Canis lupus familiaris: one gene and its partners. The protein of the gene in region 1 purifies or fractionates together with the protein of each later gene. This does not show direct contact. Links are inferred from orthologs where the notes say so. Each region holds a gene or a part of one and is shown in the gene's direction. Other genes may lie near its edges.

What was found.
Region 2: the proteins of MAGOH (region 1) and SF3B1 purify together in Homo sapiens (co-immunoprecipitation; 3 studies listed by BioGRID and IntAct, with this or other methods). This does not show direct contact. The link is inferred for Canis lupus familiaris from reciprocal best matches to the Homo sapiens genes MAGOH and SF3B1.
Region 3: the proteins of MAGOH (region 1) and RNPS1 purify together in Homo sapiens (co-immunoprecipitation; 3 studies listed by BioGRID and IntAct, with this or other methods). This does not show direct contact. The link is inferred for Canis lupus familiaris from reciprocal best matches to the Homo sapiens genes MAGOH and RNPS1.

What each region holds. Positions count from the first base shown.
Region 1 is NC_049226.1:56,147,663-56,155,483, forward strand, and holds the start of MAGOH (protein mago nashi homolog), read left to right. Parts: upstream 1-2,778; 5' UTR 2,779-2,908; coding exon 2,909-2,996; intron 2,997-5,627; coding exon 5,628-5,686; intron 5,687-6,947; coding exon 6,948-7,058; intron 7,059-7,821. UniProt on the Homo sapiens protein: Required for pre-mRNA splicing as component of the spliceosome. Plays a redundant role with MAGOHB as core component of the exon junction complex (EJC) and in the nonsense-mediated decay (NMD) pathway.
Region 2 is NC_049258.1:6,836,623-6,844,604, reverse strand, and holds the start of SF3B1 (splicing factor 3B subunit 1), read left to right. Parts: upstream 1-2,662; 5' UTR 2,663-2,793; coding exon 2,794-2,821; intron 2,822-7,982. UniProt on the Homo sapiens protein: Component of the 17S U2 SnRNP complex of the spliceosome, a large ribonucleoprotein complex that removes introns from transcribed pre-mRNAs.
Region 3 is NC_049227.1:39,162,198-39,169,923, forward strand, and holds the start of RNPS1 (RNA-binding protein with serine-rich domain 1), read left to right. Parts: upstream 1-2,406; 5' UTR 2,407-2,544; coding exon of another isoform or gene 2,545-2,546; intron 2,547-3,065; exon of another isoform or gene 3,066-3,084; intron 3,085-5,158; 5' UTR 5,159-5,275; coding exon 5,276-5,346; intron 5,347-5,585; coding exon 5,586-5,741; intron 5,742-6,381; coding exon 6,382-6,573; intron 6,574-6,887; coding exon 6,888-6,990; intron 6,991-7,271; coding exon 7,272-7,425; intron 7,426-7,726. UniProt on the Homo sapiens protein: Part of pre- and post-splicing multiprotein mRNP complexes. Auxiliary component of the splicing-dependent multiprotein exon junction complex (EJC) deposited at splice junction on mRNAs.

The sequences.
Region 1 (7,821 bases):
TCTTAATCTCCTTTGCCCACCCCTTACGAATCCATCCACGTTTATCATCTCCATTACCATTATCTTGGGTGATCATCATTATTAGCAACTTCCTACCAATATTGCAGCTAGAGTGATTTTTTTTCTAGAAGGCAAGAGGTCACGTCACCACCAGCCTTTCTATTGTCCTGCTTAAAGTTCTTCATCTGTTTCCCTTGCGTTAAAATCCAATACCTTTGAGTTTTGGCCCATATTCTAGTTTAATATGCCTTGTAAGCCATTTGGTTTCTGTCCCTTCTCCAACTTCATTACTATATTCACAACTTCATTCTGTATTCCAACCACACAGTTCTGGGCCCTCTATCTGGAACATTTCCTTCAGGAAGACTTCCCTTAGGCCCCTAGATTGGATTAGGAGCCATCCCATGTGCTTCCATAGTAGTCTGTGCTTCCTCTATTTGTAACCGTTGCTTCTACATTATAATTGCTTGTATGCTCAACTGCTTCCTCTGCAAGTTCTATAAAGGTCTGTCTTGTTCACCATTGTATTATTCCCAGCACATAACAATAAGTGCACAGACCATGTTCTTTCAGCTATACCATGTTGTCTCATGCCCCCAAACCTGGATCCAGTCTGACTGGTGTCCAGTTCCTTTAAGTTTTCTCAAAACGTTTGATATTTGCCACATCTGCAGATGCCCAGATTCAACAGTTAACAGTATAATTTTTATAAGTTCACTCTTGGAAAATAACTTCGTGGTAATTACCTGATGAATCTATATACTTAATTGAATTACCGCCTCAAGACTGTTGTGAGGATTCAAAGAATAAGCATTTGTAAATGGATTCACATTTATTAGGTGCTTAATACCTCGTGGTTCCCTTCTCTTTTTCATACAATTCCCTTGTTACCACCCATATCCCATGCTTTCTTTTTTTAAAGATTTATTCATTTATTAGAGGGGGAGGGGCAGCAGGAAAGGGAGAGAGAGGGAATCCCAAGTGGACTCCCTGCTTGGGAGGAGGGGGAGGGCCCAACATAGGGTTTGATCCCGGGACCTCAAGATCATGACCTGAGCCAAAATCAAGAGTCTAATGCTCAACCAACTGAGCCAGTCAGGTGTCCCCCAGTGTGTGTGTGTGTGTGTGTGTGTTTAAATAAAACACCCTATAGTTTTATAGCAATTTACAGTTGGCAAAGTATTTTTCCAATTTCCAAGATTTTGTTTTCTATTCTTACAACAGTCCTGCCAGATGTATAACATTATTTTTCTCATTTTATTTTTTATTATTATTTTTAAAGACTTTATGAGAGACAGAGAGAGAGAGAGAGGCAGAGACACAGGCAGAGGGAGAAGTAGGCTCCATGCAGGGAACCCGATGCGGGACTCGATCCCGGGACTCCAGGATCATGCCCTGAGCCAAAAGCAGACAGACGCTCAACCACTGAGCCACCCAGGCGTCCCTCATTTTATTTTTTATTTTTATTTTATTTTTTTGTCCCTCATTTTAAAGATAAACTTGAGTGAACCTCGAGATTCACTGATCCTAGGAGAGGAAGGGACTGATGACTGTGGCGTGGAAGGTTAGTTCACACCTTCGATCATAGCGAATCAAATCACACAAGGATTATTTTAACACAAGCTTCCAGTGATTTTCCCTCTTCACACCCACTCTACACCAGTTATTTTTGGGGGGAAGAAAAGGAGTAATGCTAAGACTGGGAATGAGAATCAAGAGGCCACTGACCTCAATGAAGAACAGTATACAATTACAGTGGTCAGGCCCCCAGAATGATGCCATCTTAGCACGGTCTCTAGACCTGATTTCACAATTCCCTGCTCTCACTGGAACTTCCACGAACTAATGCAGTTTCCTAATAATTAGGGTTTTGACTGTCCTTTGCCTACTCAAGGAGGAAAATTTTCCACAGCCTGAAAGACTTCACAGAGGTCAACCAATTTGGCCTGAAAGGACAAGGGGCTCTTGGGCATCAGTCCTGCCCCGTTGTTCATCTGGGGCGGGGGGGGGGGGGCGGGGGGGGTTTGCAAAAAAGTACCAACGCCCAGGTTCAGGGCGGCGAGAGAACCTGATTGTCTGGTTTGGGGTGGGGCCCAAGCATCAGTATTTTTAAGATGCTCCCGAATGACTCCGTTGTGCAGCCAGGTCGGAGAATCCCTGCCGGGTAAGCAGAGCCTAGAAAACGAGAAGGGGAAATTCCATATCCAGTTTAACCTCTACCCGCAGCACCTGCTCTAGAGACCAGTTAAGTAGAAAGGGAAAGGTAGGAATTAAAAAAAAAAAAAAAAGTAAAAGTAAAAGGGATAAAAGGGAGAGGTCAGTTCCAGGGAAACGGCAGCGGCACCACGGATTCAGGAAAGGCGTCTGTGGGGAGCGTTTCCGTGAGCAAAGTTCGGCCGGAGCCAACTTCTGACCCACGCGCCAGCGCGTGCGGCGGTCCGTGGGGTCAGCTCCTTCATCACCGACGGTGAACAGCTGTCTCGGGCTCGCCCACGTTGGGCCCACGCACACGGAGGTCGAGCCTGGGGCGCAGCCCTCGCGGAGCTCAGCCGGACGTCGTGAAGCAGGGTCCCCAGACCCGCCGCCCAAGCCCGGGCGCCCTCGCGTCGCCTGCGGCCTCGAGCCTCGGGAAACCCGGGGGCGACCCGTGGCCGCGCTCCCGCCGGCGGCCGAGGGGGCGGGGCTGCGCTGACCCCGCCTCCGGGCGACGGGGCTCTGGTTTCCGCCGGGGGATGCGCCAGACTTGCCGCCACTTCCGGGAACGCAGACGGCCTGGGCCGCTTCGCAGCGACCGGCAGCCTCGCCTTGACGTCACATCCGCGCGCCCCGGTAAACGTCAGTGTTGGGCGCACAGCGCGGCGACGAGGTTTGCTGGTCAAGTTTCGTCTCCGTTGCCTCCTTATGAACCATGGAGAGTGACTTTTATCTGCGTTACTACGTGGGTCACAAGGGCAAGTTCGGCCATGAGTTCCTGGAGTTTGAGTTCCGGCCCGACGGTAAGAGCGGCCTCTGGCCCCGGCCGAGCGAGGACGGGGCCTGGGGTCGGGCGAGCGGGGAGGCCCGGGCTCCGGAATGTGCGAGGAGGAGCTAGGAGAGGACGGGACTGATGACTGCGGCGCGGATCTGAAAGGGCCACTCCTGTGACCGCTCCGCTGGTTCTTCCCATGTGCACGAACTTTTTTTTTTTTTTTTTTTTTTTTAACTAGAATGCTTCATTCAGCAGACACTGATTGCATACTTTGTGCCAGGCTCTCTTTCACAATTTGGGACAAGTTTCCTCTCATAGCGTATATATTCTGGTGCTGGGAGAGATATAAACAAACAAAGATTTCAGATAATGACGAGTGGTCAGAGCATGAAACAAAACGATGGAGTAATTGCTAAAAAGTGGACTGCTTTTAAGCAGAGTGGCCACTGGCGTGCTCTCTGGAAAGGTAGTATTTGAACTGAATCCTAAGTGACAAGAAGGAGAGCCAGCTTTGTGAAGCTCGGGAAGAAGGGCATTTTGGACAGAGGGAGTAACAAGTGTTAAGGCTTTGGGGCATGAACGAGCATGTTCCAAGTGGCCAGTATGGCTGAGGAAGTAGTGAGCTCCGAGGAGAATAGTAGGAGACAATGTCAGATAAGCAGGGGTACACCATGTAGGTCTTTACAGGCCATGGTGGAGAGTTTGGATTTTATTCTAAGTGCAGCAGGAAGCAACTGGAAAGTTTTAAGGAGAGAAGAGATGTGATCTCTTCCTGAAAAAGTATTCTAATCATGGAGTATGATTAGAAATAGAGTAATGATTAGAAAAAGTAATCTATTCTAATCATTGCAAGAGTGGAGACAGGGCAACTTATTAGGAGACAGTGAACAGTTGTCAAGGTAAAAAGGATGCTGGTTGGGACTAAGGTACTATCAAAAGCGCATAGAAGGGTTCAGGATACTGTTGGAGGCAGAACCAATAGGACGTTGCTGTTTGATAAGATCTGGGGGAAGGACCACTGTGGGGAGGAAAAGGAATCAAAGATGACAAAAATAAAAAATAAAAAACCTCCCACTAAATGGGGGCACAAAGATGAATCTGACAAGCCCCAGTTGTAAACAAACAATGATAGGATAGTGTGTTTGATGCTGTGGTACAAAGAAACGGAAGGGACTCTGGAGCAGAAAGAAGGCAACCTAACCTAACCCTCAGGTAGCCTGAGGATGGGAGAAAGCTTCCTGCATAAAATGACTTGGGGGAAGAGGAGTGATAGTCTTAGTAATGTGCAGGAGTTGGTTAGGCATTTGGACATCAACATCAAAGAAGCTGAAAACCAAAAAGTGCATGGGATGTTTCAAGCAGAAACCAAGTAAGGTGGTTAACTCCAGCTGTGTAAGAGTGGACTATTGCAGGAGGGAGCCTGAAAGGCAGGCAGGGGCTCAGCTTAGCAGTTATGCCATGTTGAAGAATTTGGATTTTTATCAAGAAGGCAGTGAGAAGGGATCCCTGGGTGGTGCCAGCAGTTTAGCGCCTGCCTTTGGCCCAGGGCACTATCCTGGAGACCCGAGATCGAGTCCCATGTCAGGCTCCCAGTGCATGGAGCCTGCTTCTCCCTCTGCCTGTGTCTCTGCCTCTCTCTCTCTGTGTGACTATCATAAATAAATAAAAATTAAAAAAAAAAAAAAAAGAAGGCAGTGAGAAGCTATTGTCATTATCAAAGTGTTAGAGTAACCTGGGGCACCTGGGTGGTTAAGTAGTTGAGCGTCTGCCTTTGGCTCAGGTCATGGTCCTGGGGGCCTGGAATCGAGACCTGCATTGGGCTCCCTGAAGGAGAGCCTGCTTCTCCCTCTGCCTATGTCTCTGTCTCTCTCTCTGCATCTGTCATGAATTAATAAAATCTTACCAAAAAAAAAAAGTATTAGAGTAACCTAATTAGATTGGTCTGTTACTACATCACTTTGTCTACCGTATGGAGAATGAACTGAACCAAGAGAGACAAGGCAGAGATAGTGAGTGCAGTGAGGCATCAATTAATCTGGCTCTTTTTACATGTGTAATCCCAAAGGTAAAAATTCATCTATTTCCTTTTCTCTTCTTTTCCTTCATATCTAGCATATAGCCTTTTGGATGCATATACACACAAAAGGCCTTGTATACCAAATATGCTTAATAATAAAACCAAAACTTTTCCACCATAGGAATAGATCAGAGTATTGCATGGTCACATGAATAATATGTAAACAGCATTTTACAATTTTCAAACTGCTTTCACAATTCATCTGAGCCTCAGGAGGCCTTATGTGCAAGTAAGTTACCATCACTATCCCTGTTTTCAGCTGAGGACATTAACCTGCAGAGATATGATTTGCCAGAGTCACAATGTTCTGCTTATGTTCTTTTATCACACCTGAGCTGCCTTTTGCAAGAATTATAATTCAATGTCAGCAATATTCTGGCTTTGAAGCTACTTAATAGCCGAAAATAAAGAACTGAAAGACTGCTATTGTTGGAACATCAGAAGTTTGAATAGTAAATCTGGTAGACGCTGAGGGGAAAGCTAGGATACATTTTAAGCAACAGCTGATAGTCTTGGTGAGCTAATGAAGCTTTATTTATACGTTTTTAATATACACTGAATTTGTTTTTTCGCTCCTCACAGGGAAATTGAGATATGCCAACAACAGCAATTACAAAAATGATGTCATGATCAGAAAAGAGGTAATGAGCCTTCTGAGAGCCTTTCTTTCACTACAATTTAGCCTTTTGTCATGTTTTTGTTCTTTCTGGGAGTAAGTAGTATTGAAAAAGAATAGAGAAGTATAGACATATCTATAGACACCTTCTAAAATTTTTCTCACATCTTTTAGTTTATATTTTCTTTTACAATGTTAAACCACTTTTGTAATCATTTAAAGTCTTGCAAATCTTGGTTTAAACCCTGAATCTGCTATTTACTCTATGCCCCTGGGCAAATAACCTGGCTTGATAAGTTTTAGTTTCTTTGTCTGCAGAAACAGATATAATTAACCTGCCCCCCCCCCCCCCCCCAGTGCTATCACAGAATTAAATACATTATACCTAAAGTGTTTTGTGTATTTCCTGGTGCATAGCTTTCAGAAGAGCTCTTTAATTTGCATTTGGATGGGGGAAAGGGAACATGGGAAAGCAGTTCACATCATTGAATGCAGGTTAGATGCCAGGCTTGGCACTTGGTGTTTTACATATGATTTTATTTCACCCTGATTGTAAGCCTTTTTGATTAGCGGTATTATATACCCTTTACAATGAAGGCCCAGATGTTAATTATGGGGCTTGTTCAAAGTCACCTCATCCTGACGAGCAAGAGATAGAGTGGGAATTCAAAGCTATGCCTGCCTCTGTCAAGTCCATGTGCTCTATTTTGCTTAATTTCTGCCTCACTATTGAGGCTTCATCAAAGCTTCTCTTTCCTTTTAACCACTTTGTCACATTTGAAAATGTCTTAACAGTTACTATATCTTCATACTGTTATGTTTAACTAGCATTCAGTTTTATGTTTACCCACATGTCTCAGCCTGCTTATATACATATATATTTTATGTGTGGACTGATATACAAAATGTATTTTAAAAGATGTGTCTCTGGTCTTCATAAGCATGTCATCTCGGTAGGAATAACCAGGGTTCACTCACAGATCTTTTGTTCTGGGTTCAGGTGTGAATTCAGTCTGTAAGCAAGGAGAAGTTCCAAGTGAACAGGATGTGCCAAGAAGTAGAAACCGGTAGATGGGGTATGATGTATAGTCACTGGGCACTTCTGGCCCTGCCCTCTTGAGCATGCTGAGGTCACACCTGAATGCCATCTACCTTACAGTGGTGCCAGAGACCAGTTTTTATTAGCAGGTTTTTTTTTTTTTTTCTTTTTAATCTTTAATCATTATCTGAGTCAGAACACTTGCTTAGGGATGCAAGTTAAATTCCATTTTTTAATTTGCTTTCAGGCTTATGTACATAAAAGTGTAATGGAGGAACTGAAGAGAATAATTGATGACAGTGAAATTACCAAAGAGGATGATGCCTTGTGGCCTCCCCCGGATCGAGTGGGCCGGCAGGTGAGTGTTAGCAACTGTCCTATAGAGCAGAAGTTTTAAGAAGTAAGAGGAGTTTTACTGCCGTGCGTATGACATTGAATCTGTGTGTATGTATTAATGGAGCCCTACACAAAGTACATTACCAGCACATTTGTCTAAGGAAGCAGTAATCCCACAAGAAGGAACAGAAAGCCAGTGGTGCTTCCTGACCACCTGCATTGGTGGATTTCTTCATGACTCTTCCCCCTGCCAGCCCTTCTCAGAGGTTTTGTTGCCCACCTCACTTACTGAGTAACTACTATGGACAAAGCATTGTGAACATACAAAGAGAACCAGAACATGGTTATTTCAGCAGTCTAATGAAGGAATATCATGCAAGCAGCTAGATATATGTGTTTTAATTCATGGCTTATATATTTATTCTGAAAACCATTTATGGTAATTAAAATAAAAGCCACTGTCATATCTGTGTTAACAAGGAAGCTATTTCTCTCCACTTCAACTGCTACCTTCCTAATTTAGACTTATAATTGATTTCCTTTTTTCTTTTGTCCTGTATAGCCCATTTTTCTATCCAGACTAATCTTACAAAATATAAATGTATTCCACTCATTTTAAGTTCTCTGCTATCTTCCCACTATATCTGAAATAAAATCTGAACTCCCACCTTATCTTCTACCGTTTTCATAGTCTTTTGCCGCATTCAGACCTCACTCACCTTATTTCTGTTCCTCAGACACACCTAGGTTGTTCTTAGATTAGGGCATTTGCATTTGCTGCATCC
Region 2 (7,982 bases), on another chromosome or scaffold:
CTGTTAATTGTCTAGATTACAAAAGACCAGATCACCTTTTCTAATTTTTGAAACAAAAAGTTTCACCAGAAAAGGGCAGGAAATGTATTTTAAATGATATCTGAGTATTATTTATTAATATTGAAAGTGGAAAGTAAAAGGTACTTGTTGAAAAACTTACTTCCTGTCTGAATGTCCAAGTCATTGTTTTATTAAAGATAAATTAGTCTTTAGAAGACTAAAAGAAGGGAATCTCCTTTGGCAAATTTTCTCTTTCCTCACTATTCCATAGGGCCTTTGCCTTACAAAAGTTAACTTAAGGGCACCCCCGGTGGCACAGCGGTTTAGCGCCGCCTTCAGCCCGGGGTCTGATCCTGGAGACCCGGAATCGAGTCCCGTGTCGGGCTCCCTGCATGGAGCCTGCTTCTCCCTCTGCCTGTGTCTCTGCCTCTTGGTCTCTCTCTCTCTCTCTCTCTGAATAAATAAATTAAAAAAAAAAAACTTACAAAAGTTAACTTAATACCTAGTAACCTAGAGAAATATGCATGTAATAATACAAAGTGGCCAGCAGATGCAGCTTCTATCTTAGAATGAAAAGGACATGTGACACCTTTGCACATGCTTTTCATTTTTTTTTTTTTAAATATAGTTTATTTCTAGAAATCTGTACACCCAATGTGGGGCTCAAATTTACCACTGTGAGATTAAGAGTCGCATGTTCTTTCAACTGAGCTGGCCAGGCATTCCATCTTTTAATATATTCCTTTTGTGTATTATAAAAATGTGCTTATAGCAAAGTATCTGGAAAATACTAAAAATTATTTTTAAAGTTCATAATTTCACCAGTCATAGGCATCCACTATTAACACTTTGGTGAATTTCCTTTGCATATATTTTGACAGGACAGTGATTGTCTTGTATATACAAATTTACCTTTCTTCTTTTTTCTTTTTTTTCTTCCTATTTTTAAATAAGAGCCAAGAAATGCCATGTCCTTGTGATTCTTTTTGTCAACATGGATTTTTTTAGATTGTTGATTATTGATGGATCATAACACCCTTCTGTAATTCTTTATTTCCCATTCATCCTTTTTTCATTATTTTAAAACATGCTATTTTATATATATAAAAGAATATGTGCAATCTATGTGTAGGTTATAAACTATGTAAGGAATATCTGTGGGCACTCTGCCAATTCAACAACTAGAGTTTACCAATAATTCATAAAATTACATGTTCTTGGGACGCCTGCATGGCTCAGGGGTTGAGTGTCTGCCTTCAGCTCAGGTCGTGACCCCTGTGGTCCCTGGGATCCAGTCCCATGTCAGACTCCCTGCAGGGGGCCTACTTCTCCCTCTGCCTGTGTCTATCTCTCATGAATAAAATCTTTTTTTAAAAAAACAATCTACATGTTCTCTTAACCCTTTCCTCCCTCAACTATTGTTTAACCTAAATTAAAACAATTGAAAATTGAAAATTTTCTCTCATCAAATTGATTTTTTTCATTGATACTAAGTCCCATTTTTGTTACTAAAGTTTCTACTAAATACTCATGTTGTGATCCTGTTACACAGCCAGGCAAACGTTTTTGGTGATAGCTCTAACCTTAATCCTTACCTGTTTCCTTAGGCTGCTTCCTGTACCAACTTCCCCTCAAAGTTATGTTCTTTTTTAATCCTAAAGTCCAAGGCCAGTGTGGCAGTTCAAAATTATGCTTTTGTAATTGAGGAGTAGGCAAAAAAAAAAAAAGAAAAGCCATATTTGGAGCTTTTAAAAATTCCTGATTCAAGAGTGACATTTAGGATTAAGAGAGGCATTCCAGGGATCCCTCGGTGGCGCAGCGGTTTGGCGCCTGCCTTTGGCCCAGGGCGCGATCCTGGAGACCCGGGATCGAATCCCACGTCGGGCTCCCTGCATGGAGCCTGCTTCTCCCTCTGCCTGTGTCTCTGCCTCTCTCTCTTTCTCACTGTGTGTCTATCATAAATAAATAAATAAAAATTAAAAAAAAAAGAAAGGCATTCCATCAGTGTTAATGCTGACAGCCAGTGGTTTTCTAAGAACCTATGAAATTAAAAGGCTTTAAAAAAGGACGGCACAGTTCCTCCCGGGTAATTCAGTAAGGGTGTGACCTTGCATATTTTATTTACACCCCCGCCCTAGTTTTCCTCTCCTTTCTTAAATGGGATTAGCAACAACTCGCCCACTTTCCTGGGTTGTTTGTGAGGTACAACAGTGTCTGGAAATAATAATGTTGTGCACGAAACTCCTACCCAAATGGCAAGTAATTCTTTAAGAAGAAAGAAAAATGACCTTGAATTTCAGCGCGAAGGACGTGACTGGTGTGTGTCTCCACAACTACCCACTGCAGCCGCTGAGAGACGCCACAGGAGCTCTCGCCTGGCACCGACACACCTCCGCTCGACGTGGAGGACGAGAACTGACGGCCTGAGGCTTCGGACGGGCCTGAAATCCAGCGTCTCTCGCAGTGACTATCAGCGGGTCCTCGCACAACCCACTTCCCTCCAGAGCAGTCGCCGTCGCCCCCGCCCCCGCCCCCGCGTCAGGACTCGCTTAGCCCTCCTCCTCCCGCCACCGCGAAAACCGCCTCCGCGCCGGGCCCTGGCTCCTCCCCCTCCCCCACAATGCATCGCTCTGTTCCCTCTAGGCGGCTGCTCCGTCACGTGTCGCGCGGCGGCGCGCGCCCCCGCTTGGCGCACGCGCAGAGAGCATTCCCCAGCTATTTTTCTCCGTGGCAGCGGCGGCGAGCGGAAGTGCTGGGGAGCGCCAGTTCCGTCTGTGTGTTCGAGTGGACAAAATGGCGAAGATCGCCAAGACCCACGAAGGTAAGGCGTCTTCCCGTGCTCCCGCGTCTTCTCTGCTGCCAGCCTGCCAAGACTCGATTTTACTCGGTTTTTGCCTCGGCCTGTGGTTTCGTTGGTGGGGTGCCGCGCCCGCGCGTGGGGGCCCTGGTCGGCTCCTCGGCGCTAGCGGCGCAGGCCACTGCCCCACGTAATGGCGTCCTACTCCTCCACCGCGGGCAGGCGCTTTGTTCCGCGTTTGGGTCCTGTTCCTTCAGAGTTGCTTCTCTTTTCCGAGCGGAAGGCCTCGTTCAGACGGCTCGCCGGGGGGGAGGCCAGGGCCGCGAATCGGGGAAACGGGCGTGAAAGCCGGGAGTCGCCCTCGCCTCACGGAACTGTGGCGGGCGCAGTTCGTGCCCGGGGGAGTCGGGGGAGCCCGGGAACACGGCAGCCGCTTTTCGGCAGCGCCAACTCGAGCGTAGCCTGCTTGAGGCCCGTTCCTCTTCGTCTCGGCTAATCAGGCATCTAAAATACTTTTTTTTTTTTTTTTGTATGAAGTGATTTGGACATAAAATCTGGTAGTTTTTTCTTCCCGTGATCACTTGTATATTGGTGTTTGTTCCCCACCCCCCCCCCTTGGAGACTGATGATTGGTGGAAGAGGGAAAGGCACGTTATTATTCCCAGCGGTCAAAGCTTTCGAGGTACCTGATCGTTTTGTGGAATTCGGAGAACACGGAATTTAGGAAAATGCTGAGAATAAGCCGGAGTTCTTGAGGGAGTATCCAGTTTCCAGAAATGACAGGAAATAGGGTCACTTCAGAGAAGATGAGGCATGGGCATTGGGAGGCGCGTTCCTTAGGATTTTTTTTTTTTTTTTCTGACCTGGAATCTGAAGCGTTCGTCGAACGGGAGGCTTCCAGGAGTCATTTGTATTTTCACGGGTCGTTTCCAGGTGCTGGCTCCGTGTGAGTCCGAAGTAACAAAGAGTAAGGCCGTGCAAAGTTTTACAGGCTCCTGGGGAGACAGGTGTGTGTGTGTGTATACGTTTTCATTCTTTCATGAGGCAAATTAACGCTTAAATAGAAATACAGGCCGCATGTTCTGGGATTCTGGGTAACGGAGTGATTAATTCCTGCCTAGGTAGGACTCTTCCATAGAGGAGGTGACGTGTCCCTGGCCTAAACGGATCAATCCGTTTTAAATTAGGGGAGGACATTTGAGCCTGAGAGGACATCTTGTAACGAGGCAAGGAGTCCTGAAAAGTGTGTTTGAGTAGTGGACTGTGGCGCTGCAGGGAGGGAAAGTGTAGGCGAATCTGGAAAGGTTGGTTGGGACCAGGATGTGAATGCCCTGGAATAATTGTGTTCCCCGCCAGAACTGAAGTCCAGCTCTCTGCGACATGCTAATTAATGGGCAGTGACTTTAATACTCTTCTCGTTGTGGGGGTAGGTATTTAGGATTTATTTATTTATTTTATTATTATTTTTTATATTTTTTTATTTATTCATGAGATATTTTTTATTTTATATGAGATATATATTTTATTTTATTTATTTATTCATGAGAGACACAGAGAAAGAGAGGCAGAGACACAGGCAGAGGGAGAGGCAGGCTCCCCCACAGGGAGCCTGATGCGGGACTCGATCCCGGAACCCCAGGATCACGCCCAGGGCCAAAGGCAGGCACCAAGCCGCCGAGCCACCCGGGCTGCCCGGTATTTAGGATTTAAACACTGTTTTAGCCCTGAAGGTTGTTTAGGCACTTACTCTTCTGTCTTTAGACTAATCCGGATGTAACCTTTTGCAAAATAATTAGAAACTGAAGATGTTGCTCTTGTTTATTCAGGAGTAGGCTGTTCATTGGGGGCAGTTTGTGGCTTTGATCACTTGTTTGTTGATATTTTTAATCATAAAGATACTTTTGGACAGGGAAATCAAGGTTTGGATCAGGTTTCCTGCTTTTTTGAGACTCAATTAAAAGCTTTGGTCTATAGAAGATTGAAGTTGATTGGCCAAGTTTGCTTTTTTATTTGGAATCTTGCTACAGTATGAATTAACTGATGCTATAAAGAAAGTATAGCAGTATTCAGTTAACAACAGCACTGTGTATAAGACAGTCTGTCACTGTGAGTTTTTGGTAAAGGATGATCAATGTTTAGTGGAAATATGCATAATATTTACATAGAGATACTTTCCTAAAGATCTGGAATGGTTCATGGTGCATCTCTTCTCTTTTCCCTTAATAAGTCATCTCTGATAGCCTGGAGCAGATTTCTTGGTGGGTTTATTTATTTATTTATTTATTTATTTACTTACCTAGGTGCTACTGTAGCTCTTTATTATACTAGAATATTCTATTGTGTTAAGGTTTTTTAAAAAATATTTATTCATGAGAGAGAGAGAGAGAGGCAGAGACACAGGCAGAGGGAGAAGCAGGCTCCATGCAGGGAGCCTGACGTGGGACTCCATCCCGGGTCTCCAGGATCACGCACTGGGTGGAAGGCGGCGCCAAACTGCTGAGCCACCCGGGCTGCCCAAGGTTTTCTTATCCACGTTGAGACTGATGTGTACAGGAACTATTTCTTGGTATCCCCAGTACCTAATGCCTAATGAGTACTGAGTATTAACATTTATTGAGAGATTATATTGGAAATATTAAAAGTTTCACAGAAAGGGGCCGCTTAAACTCACTTTTGAATGATTGGGTAGGTTTGGATACATTGTTTGGCTGAGGTAGGTGGGAAGTAGGACTTGTTAATGTATTGGGAACCTTCTGCGCTGAGAGGAAGAAAGGTTTGCATCAAATTAAAGAAAGCTTTGAACTCTAAGTTAGGCTTGACTTGGCTTTCCAGTGACTACAGAATAAAGTACCTACTTCTCCCAGGTGACAAGTTATTTCTGCATTTTGGGAAAGTCTTTAGTTGCAGTGTTGAAGAGTGGCAGTAAGAGCAGCAATTCTTAAGCTAGGCTTGAGTTTGAACCTCACTGTAGTAACTTTAAAAATGTATATTCTTTGATTTTTGTTTTAGAGTTGTCCATCATCATGTGGTGTGTGTGTGGTTTTTTTAAGCTATGGTCTTTTTTTTTTTTTTTAAGATTTTATTTGAGAAAGGGAATAAGAGACAGAGGGAGCACAAACTGCACAAACGGGGAGAAGCAGAGGATAAGGGAGAAGCAGACTCCCCACTGAACAGGAAGCTGTAATGTGGGCTCAACCCCAAAATTATGACCTGAGCTGAAGGCTGACGCTCAACTGACTGAGCCACCCAGGCACCCCATCTTGTTGCTTTTTTAAGAAGATTATATAATCTTTTTATCCTAAGTAATATTGCTAGTAAGGAGTTTTCTTTGTTGTATTTTTTTCTTTGTTGTATTTTTAAAAAAGATTTTATTTGTTTATTCGTGAGAGACAGAGAAGGCAGAGACGCAGGCAGAGAGAGAAGCAGGCTCCCTGAAGGGAGCCTGATGTGGGACTTGATCCCGTAACTCCAGGATCATGCCCTGAGCCAAAGGCAGATGCTCTACCGCTGAGCCCCCCAGGGATCCCTGTAATTTAGTTTTAGAGTAATTGCTGCATCAGTAATTTTTACTTGAATTTTGTAAATTAATATTGTATTCAAAGTGATCTAGGTAATTGTACCTTCCTATATGTTGTTTTCACAGGTTATTAGTTAAGTATCATTGAGCCAAACTGATAACTTGTTTTTGTTTTTATGCTGTCATAGTCCTTTTTCATATTTCTGTTACGATCAGCCCTTAATATCCTTTTTTAAGCAACCTGATTGTTTTTTACCCTGGTGGGTCACATTTTCCAGTATTGAAAGATAAAAAGGGGATCCCTGGGTGGCGCAGCGGTTTGGCACCTGCCTTTGGTCCAGGGCGTGATCCTGGAGACCCGGGATCGAATCCCACGTCGGGCTCCCGGTGCTTGGAGCCTGCTTCTCCCTCTTCCTATGTCTCTGCCTCTCTCTCTCTCTCTCTCTCTCTCTCTGTGACTATCATAAATAAAAAATAAAAAATAAAATAAAATAAAAAGAACTGGACGGGTTCACATCAATAAAATCTTTTGAACCTTTTGGCATGTTTAGTTGTGTCAAAATATACAGTTACTACTGTGCATAATCTTGCTGTTCAGCAGTTCACATGTTGTTGACTTTGACAGACAAGGAGCACACTTTTTTTCTCTTGCGAAGGGGAAGGGAAAAATGAATTATCCTTAAATTTAATGGCTTGTTCTGCCAGTGCCTTTTTTTTTTTTTTTTAAGATTTTATTTATTTATTCATCAGAGAGAGAGGCAGAGACACAGGCAGAGGGAGAAACAGGCTCCATGCTCGGAGCCTGACGTGGGACTTGATCACAACCTGGGCCGAAGGCAGCGCTAAACCGCTGAGCCACTGGGGCTGCCCTGCCAGTGCCTCTTGAATGGATTTTTGGAGAGCATCACAAAGCTGAAAAGTTTATTTCCCTTAATTTTGCTTTGTCTGGGAATAGTCATGGTATTCATTTTCTGAGATTTTTATTTTTCTGTGTTCAGAATACTTACTGTTTGGTTTTGTAGACTTCCAGTGTGCATGTTGTTAGTAAAAATAAAAAGGAAAGCAATTGTTTAAAGATTTATTTTTTAAAGATTTTATTTATTCATGAGAGAGAGAGAAGCAGAGGCACAGGCAGAAGGAGAAGCAGGTTCCATCAGGGAGCCTGACGTGGGCCTCAGTCCCAGGTCTCCAGGATCACGCCCTGGGCTGAAGGCGGCGCTAAACCGCTGAGCCGCCCAGGCTGCCCCGCTTAAAGATTTTTTAAAAGGTTTTTCTTTTCTGATTATTTAATACTAGATTTAAGTAATGCTAATTAGGGATTAATCACTTAGGAATTGATACCTTTAGTGTTCAGTAAAATAATTTACCACTATAGTTAATTTTCTGGTTGGAGTTCTGTTTAAGGAAAAGGATGAAAGTTGGGATACAGAACCCCACTTGGTATTTTCTGGATGACTTTTAGAGGTGTTATATGTGGGAAATCCTTGCTCACTACTTGCAGAAATGGACCAGACTAAGGTGTCAATGAGTAACATGAGAAGGCTGTGCCTCTGTAACATGTAATGAACAGTGATTAGAACATTGAAAACAATCTAAATAAAAAATGAGGAATAAAAAGACACATTGAGGAGAATATGCTGCAAGTTGGATTTAGCAATATCTGGGACA
Region 3 (7,726 bases), on another chromosome or scaffold:
GGATCCCCGGGTGGCTCTGTGGTTTGGCGCCTGCCTTTGGTCCAGGCCCGTGATCCTGGAGTCCTGGGATCGAGTCCTGCATCAGGGTCCCTGCTTGGAGCCTGCTTCTCCCTCTGCCTGTGTCTCTGCTCCCCACCCCTCTCTCTATGTCTATCATGAATAAATAAATAAAATCTTGGAAAAAAAAAAAAAAGCTTCCTGGGGACCCAGCCTCCCAGTCCTCCCCTCCAGGGCCTGGGTGGGTTAGCACAGGGGCATAGGAAGGGGGAAGCCAGAACCCCTGGACGGCCAGGGCCTCCAGTTTTTACTTCTTGTTTCTTCCAAACACATTCTGTTCATCTTCAAAATGGCACAAGACAAGATGCTCAAGTTTTAAAGCTCAACAGCTGATAACACACTTGATAACAAAGATCTATAATATTTAGAAACAAATATGATTAAATTTATGTGTCTGAATAAATCATGCTTTAGATTTAATATAAAACATGTTAAAATTTACATGCATGCCAAGTTCTATCAGTTTAGCACATTTTAAAAAGACACAAGGGGTTGTCAGCCCAGCTGGTTGTCCCCACCCCCATATGGCCACATGGAGCTCCTGGCCCCTGGCCTGCTCCCCCACCTAGGGTGTTGGCACCACGCAGGGCTGGGCAAAGGCTCCGGATCAAGGCCCTCAGGAACGCACCAATGATTGGGCCAGGCGTGTGCAGCTGACAGGCTGCCACGGCCTCCTCACAGACCTCCACTGGCTATAGGCCTGGACCACCAAGTCCACCCCACCCCCAGTGCTGACCCTCTGGGCCCCTTCACTGCTGCAGTGCCGAGCCGGGACTGTCCCCCATTCCCACTTACTCCTCCACACCTGGCCATGGCAGCGGTAACAATGAGGCAGAGAATTTAAGTTGCTCTAAATGGACCCCCACAACTCTAGGGCAGATCTAAATCCAAAGGGAGGACCTGCGCTCAGACCCACTCTGCCTGCCAACCCAGCTCATTCTCCAAGAGCGTCCTGGTGTCTTAGCAAACAGGGACTCAGGAGGCAACTGCTTTTTCCCTGCTCTTTTGCTGGTGACTCTCAGACACCCCTCCATCAGGTATAGGGGTACACTGACCCACCAGACCAGGCTAGAGGAGCTGCACAGGAAAGGGCGTCACCATCCATGTGCTGGGAAAACCATACAGAGCAGAGAGCAATGGCCTGCAGACGGTGTCCACAGTCTGTCCATCCATCCCTGGTCACCACACTGCAACCCGGACTCTCCTGCCCCCGCCCCGGCAGCTAATCCATCTCCAAGTCACCACAGCTCCTTCCTCCAAGAGATCTGCTTTGGATCTGTTCCCTTCTCCTCCTTGATGCACCTACCTGTGCAGACAGCCACTGGGGCAGGGTGCACCTTCCCTCCTCCCACTCAGTCCTGGGGTAACCACCGGTAGCCAGACTGGGGCAGGGACTCCGTGGGAGACACCTCGGGGAACACACCCCGAAAGCTCTGGCCCTCTCGGCGCGGCTTTTACTCTTCCCAGCCTCCTGCCTGGCCCGGGCCGTACTTCAACAGAGGAGTCCGCCTCCCTGCCTGCACTGTCCCCCGCGAGGTGTGGGGTGGGGGTGGGGGTGGGGGGGTGCTGCACAGGCTCCCGCTCGGCACCCGAACCTCACCTGCCCGGCCCTGGCCTGCGAGTCGCCCCCTGGCCTCCCCTCAACGAGCCCCCTTCGTGCCCCTGCACCTGCTGCTCCCTCACCGGGCGCCTCCTTCCCCTCGGGTCTTGGTCTGGCGCAGTGCCCCCTCCTCCTCCGGGGTGCTTGCCCTTTCGCAACTTCTCTTCTATCCGGTCTTTCGCTCCCCACTGCGATGGCAGCACTGCCCCTGTCCACGCTCAGGGCCAACGACCGCGTGGGCACTCCGCACCTCTCCTGCCCAGCTCTCTGGGCAGCTGGCGCCCCGCGAGACCCCACAGTCCGCAGCCAGAGGCCACACAGCCCTCAGCACCCCCGCACTGCCCCCGTCGGGCCGCGCACTGTCCCGCACTGCCCCGCCCCGCCCCCGCCCTGCCCCGCACCGTCCCCTCCGGTCCCCGCACTGCCCCCGCCGGCCCCCGCCAGCCACCGCACTGTCCCCGCCGCCCACCTCACCGCCCCCGCCGCCCCGCGCGCTGGAGCGGGAACCCGGGCTGCTAGTCCAGTGCGCACGCGCAACGGGGGGGCGGGGCCGCCGCTGCGTTAACCCCCTCGGCGCCGGCCCGGAGCCGCCCGCCCTGCGCGGCCCTCCCGCCCCCAGCAGTCGGCCGGCCCCCTGCGGCACGCAGCCGGCCCAGGGTCGCCCCAGATCCCCGCCTCGCGGGGGAGACAGAAGACGAGGCCCCGACGCGGCCCGTCGGGAACGGCCGGGGCCCTTTAACACTCCCTTCGCTCCCTCCATTGGCTGAGGCGGTCACGTCATCGCCGCGCGCCGGAGAGCAGCGCCTTCCCGCTCCCTAATCCTGACGCCAGAGCGGCGCCGGCCTTCGAGGCTGAGGAGAGCGGGCGGAGGTGGCGGCGGCGGGAAGATGTAAGTTGGGGGAATCCGACCCCATCCGAGCTCCGGGGGCCGCCCGCAAGGCTCGGCGGGGCGCGTGGTGGAGCCGGCCCGCCCCTCGGCCTCTTGGTAGGGACGGCGGCCCGGCGGCGCGACAGCGGGCGCGAGAAGAAAGAGTGTGGCCCGGGGCTGGCGGAGTGGGAGGCGCCGAGGCCGCGGCCCGGAAGTGGTCGGGGCCGCGGCGGGCGGAAGGGCGCTCACGTCGGCCCCCTCCCCCTGCGGCGGCCCCGGCAAGGCCCGCGGGATTCGGAGCCGCCCTCGGGCCGGCCCTGGGCTGGGAGTTGCGGGCGCCGGCGGACGGGGGCGGCGTGGGTGGAGTTGCCCCGTGGGGGGCCCGGGAGGCGCGGGGACCGCGCCGCTGCCGCGCGGGCGGGCGGGCCGCCCCACGAGGGGGGCGCGGGAAGGAAGGGAGGCCGCGGCCCTTCTTGGCTGTCGCATGACTTGTGCCAAAAACGTGCTTTTTAAGTGGGGAAGGTGCCCCGAGGACGGGGCCGAACGCCATCTGCTCGAGGTGTGACTAACTGTTCTCTCTCTCTCTGGCTGTTGGACGCGCACCTGTCCGGAGGATGGGGGAGGTAACCCAGGTCCTGTGCCGCGACCCGAACTTGTGTGGACAGAGCGCCGCGGGCTCTGCTCCCCAGGCCCGGCCGCGCCCGCAGCGCTTAGAGTCCGGGGCTTCGGGTGGTGCTGGTGGTCGGAGGGCCCTGGGGTGGGGCCCGGGGGTGCGCCCTGCCGTGGGTGCTGCCCCGGCAGGCGGGCGGCCCGGCCTGGGCCTGAGCCTGAGCCTGGGCCCGGGCCTGGGCCGGGTGGAGGTGTTGGAGAGGTCTGGCGCCCGCGGGGGAGTAAGTGTATCACGGGTGGGTCTTCACTGCCTGTACGTTGGAGAGATGGTATTGGGGGCGTGGGGTGTCAATACTTGGCTGGATCCCTCGTTAACCTCCTTGTGTAACGGGGCTGCTGGAGTGCTTGAGGACGTGCCGGCAGCTCACGCTCTTCTCCTGGGACAGGGCCGCCCTGGGTGATCCTCTTAACGGGCCGTCCAGCATTCAGGAGATCGTGTGGGCCTTTGGGAAACAAGAGTTTATGTAGGGGAAAGCCTGCACACGGGGAGGAGCACCCCTGTCTTGTAACATGAGCGGGCATTTAATTGAGCCCTAACTAGATGCCAAGTTTCCTTCCATGTGAGTAAACTGGGTTGGTGATCTTGGTAACTACGGAGGTGTAGGAGCTGTATCCCCCAAAACGCTGATGAGAGGTGGAGACTCAGAACAGCTGTGGGACTTAGCCCCGGTCCCAAAGCAGAGCTTGGAATCAGACAGGCAGGCTGACTCCAGATTCCTGCCCACTGGACCGTACTTCCTGGTTGTCCAAGGCCACTGACTCCATCCAGTGCTGCTTGCTTACTACCTTACTGTTCCAAGGCAAAACGTCTTAAAAGATTGTACCAGCCTGGAGAGGAGCCTCAAAGGTGACACCCTGCTTGCTTCTGCTCTAATTTGATTGTCCAAAGCTGGCCTCCTTTCTTGAGTCACGACATTCATTTAGCATTTTGCACACCCCTTCACATGTGAGAACAGGATCCCGGGTGGTTGCCATGTCGATGTTACTGACAGGCTGTTGAAGATGAGACAGGAGGAGTTGACACCACCATTCTGCAATCTTCGCTTGCAGCTCAAGCAAATTGTAGAAAAACCTCCCTGGAAAAAATGAAGGTCGCGAGTCCCCCAGGAGACCAGGCACATGATGGTTTGGTGGTTACACTGACCACTCACAACTCATGCTGTGGTGCGGGCACTTGGTGAGACCCTTAGGAGCAGTGCCCTCCAGTTCCAGTGAATACCCGCATAACCACCACGTAGAACCTACAAGTTACATTTCTGCCATATTTGCTTTGTCATAGAACAGATCGCCCATCCACGTTTTTTGTTGCATTTTGAAGTAAATAGCAGGCTTTGGTGTACTTTCCCCATGACGCTTCCATGTGCATATCATTAATTAAAGTTCAGCATTTGCAATGATTGCTTTCTAACTTAACTATTTTACTACTTTTTCAGTGTTCTTATGGGACATTTTATCTGTTTGCATTTGGGTGTTAATGTTTAGATGCTGGTACTTGTCACTTTTGAAATGGTTTTTGATTCTAGTCATGGTATGTTCGATGTATCCTACAAAGAAATTGCAGCAGTAAAACCTGAGATCTAATCACACCAGTGATCCTATCAGGAGAGCCACACTTGACTCTTCTGTTCTGCATGCAAATGTGGTGTTGTAACATTTCTAAGGGAATGGTAAAGGGCTTATCAAACTTAGGAGTGAAAAACAGGTATTGTACCACCTGTAAAAGAACAGTGACAGGCACTACCACCCTTTCCTTAAGGAAAAAACAACAAGGTGAGGTGAAGGTCTACCTGTGGGGGCAAGACCCTCCCTGAGGAAATGGAGGAGATCCCATATGTTCCTGGCTTTGTGGACGCTCGCTGCTTACTGTGTTCCTTGCCATCTTGTGTGCTCACCTTTTGACTGCAAAGTAGATTTGTTGCCTTGCCAACTCGTTCACTCTGTAAATCCTTTTATCTTGTTATTAGGCTGCACTTTGGCGTAAATTGCAATCGATTAGGGATCGTTTCTCAGACTCGAGTTAGAAGTGAGAGTTCAGATAAGTGAGGCCACCATTGCTGCTTTGAACACCTCAGAAGGGGAGAATGGATTTATCAGGAGTGAAAAAGAAGAGCTTGCTAGGAGTCAAAGAAAATAATAAAAAGTCCAGCACTAGGTAATCCTTCTGTCAGATTTTTCTAGTGCTACTTTGGGGGTGCTCATTACTAGGGACCCTCAGCAAGGGGAAGAATGGAAATGACTTACGTTCTACAGTGACGTGTCTTAAGCCACAGATCATTTTGCTCTGTGATCACCTGGGATCTCTATAGCCCTTTGGATCCCCTCTTTTGGGTAGTTTTGTTTTAGGGTTTGGTCAGAGGGGCATGCGATCTCACACTCTTCCTCACCATCCAGGGCTCCTTCTCCTACCAAACGCAAAGACCGTTCTGATGAGAAGTCCAAGGATCGTTCTAAAGATAAAGGGGCCACCAAGGAGTCAAGTGAGAAGGATCGTGGCAGGGATAAAACTCGGAAGAGGCGCAGCGCTTCCAGTGGTAGCAGCAGCACCAGGTGGGACCCGGCAGGACAGAGCACCCCTGAGCACCCGAGAGGGCTTCTCTTCTGTGGCCACGCCCCTTTCCCTTCCCAGGGAGCTGGCAGGGTGCTCTGTGGTCTTCGTAATTTACCAACATACTCTGAGGTGGTTCATCAAGGCCTGGATTATGGCAGAGTGGTTTGAGTTTGCTCTGGTTACATATGGAAGATGGTGTTGAGGTGTTTTCTGGAGATGTTAAAGACTGGGACATCTTGGGGTATAAGTTTCTCTCGAGTGTTTTTTTGTTTAGAGTTGTGATTGGATTGCTCTAGCCTAAAGCTTATTTTTCCCTCAGTTGAAAACCAGCCCGAGTCCCTGGGTAGCTACCATCCAGGCAGGGCTGGTGCTTCTGGTTTGCCAGACTCTGTGCCTCCCAGTAGGTGAGGCTCCTGTATGGCTAGGAGGTGGCTCTTTCCTGTCACTGCACAGTGTGATTTTCTGTCCCTACCTGGGGTTTCAGCTGGGCAGGAGTGGGGCCCTCCGAGGAGGGGAGACATTGAAGCTTGGAAATGGGAGGACATTTACCTCTTGGGAATAGGAGCAAGTATGGGCTCATGTGTGGGAAGAAATACTCTCGTGCACTGTTGCCCCTGACCTCACCGTCTCATTTGTCAGGTCCCGGTCCAGCTCTACCTCCAGCTCAGGCTCCAGCACCAGCACAGGCTCCAGCAGTGGCTCCAGCTCTTCCTCAGCCTCTAGCCGCTCAGGAAGTTCCAGCACATCTCGCAGTTCCAGCTCCAGCAGCTCCTCTGGCTCACCCAGTCCTTCTAGGCGTAGGCATGACAACAGGAGGCGTTCCCGCTCCAAGTAAGCTCCTTTCCAGCACCTCTTCTCAACTCAGGAGTGCCTTGGTTGGGAAGGGATTGCCCTCAAAACTTGTGAATTATCTGGGAAACTAAGTTCACAAATGGGGGACGATAAAGTTATTCTTGTTACTATAGAAGTAGATCTAAAAAGGAGTCTTTCTATTTTAGTAGGATTTCTGAAGCAGAGCTAATATGAAATACATGAACTGGTAGGGGAAGGCTTCCTTATAAAAACTATCTTAGTAGCAATTAGCAGCCCCACTAAAAAATTTTGACAGAAATTGATTGTTTCTGGTGTTTTGTTTCTTCAATCAGATCCAAACCACCCAAAAGAGATGAAAAGGAAAGGAAAAGGCGGAGTCCTTCCCCTAAACCCACCAAAGTACACATCGGGAGGCTCACCAGGAATGTGACCAAGGTGAGGGATCCTGGATCTGTCCAGTGGGCAGTGGGATATGTCTATTCTACATATGTTTTAAATGGAAAACTAGAGAAGCAGGCCTCAGCCTCAGGTGAACTGAGGGCATAGGCTTTCCAGGGCCTGACCAGAGCGTTTGTCAAGGGGAGCAGTAACTCCCTCAGGGTGACCCTGTGTGAGAAACTTAACCCCAGGTGCCAAGGCTATTGATGTGTCGTGCATTTTCAGTTCCCACATGGGTAGTTGTGAGTATGCATCAGAGTGACCTGTCTTTGCTCTAGGACCACATCATGGAGATATTCTCCACCTATGGGAAGATTAAAATGATTGACATGCCTGTAGAAAGGATGCACCCCCATCTGTCTAAAGGCTATGCATACGTGGAGTTTGAGAATCCAGATGAAGCCGAGAAGGCACTGAAGCACATGGATGGAGGTGAGTGACCTTGCCAGCCCTCTCTGAGCTCCCTTCTCTATTCCCTATGCAGGACAAGCTACCTGCCACACATAGGGAACTTTAGAACTGATTTCCAACCTGGCTGCACATCACAGTCTCCCTGGAGCTCTTAGGATTCTGGTTCTTAACCAGTGGAGGTGTGTGTGTGTATCAAAAACAAGTTTTATGGGACACTATTCTTGGAAAAAGATCAGCAAATATGAATATATTAGCATTTCTAGAATTTCCTAATCTTTGAAAGTTTAAGGATTAAATGAAGAGTTTTTGTCTTATTTTTACA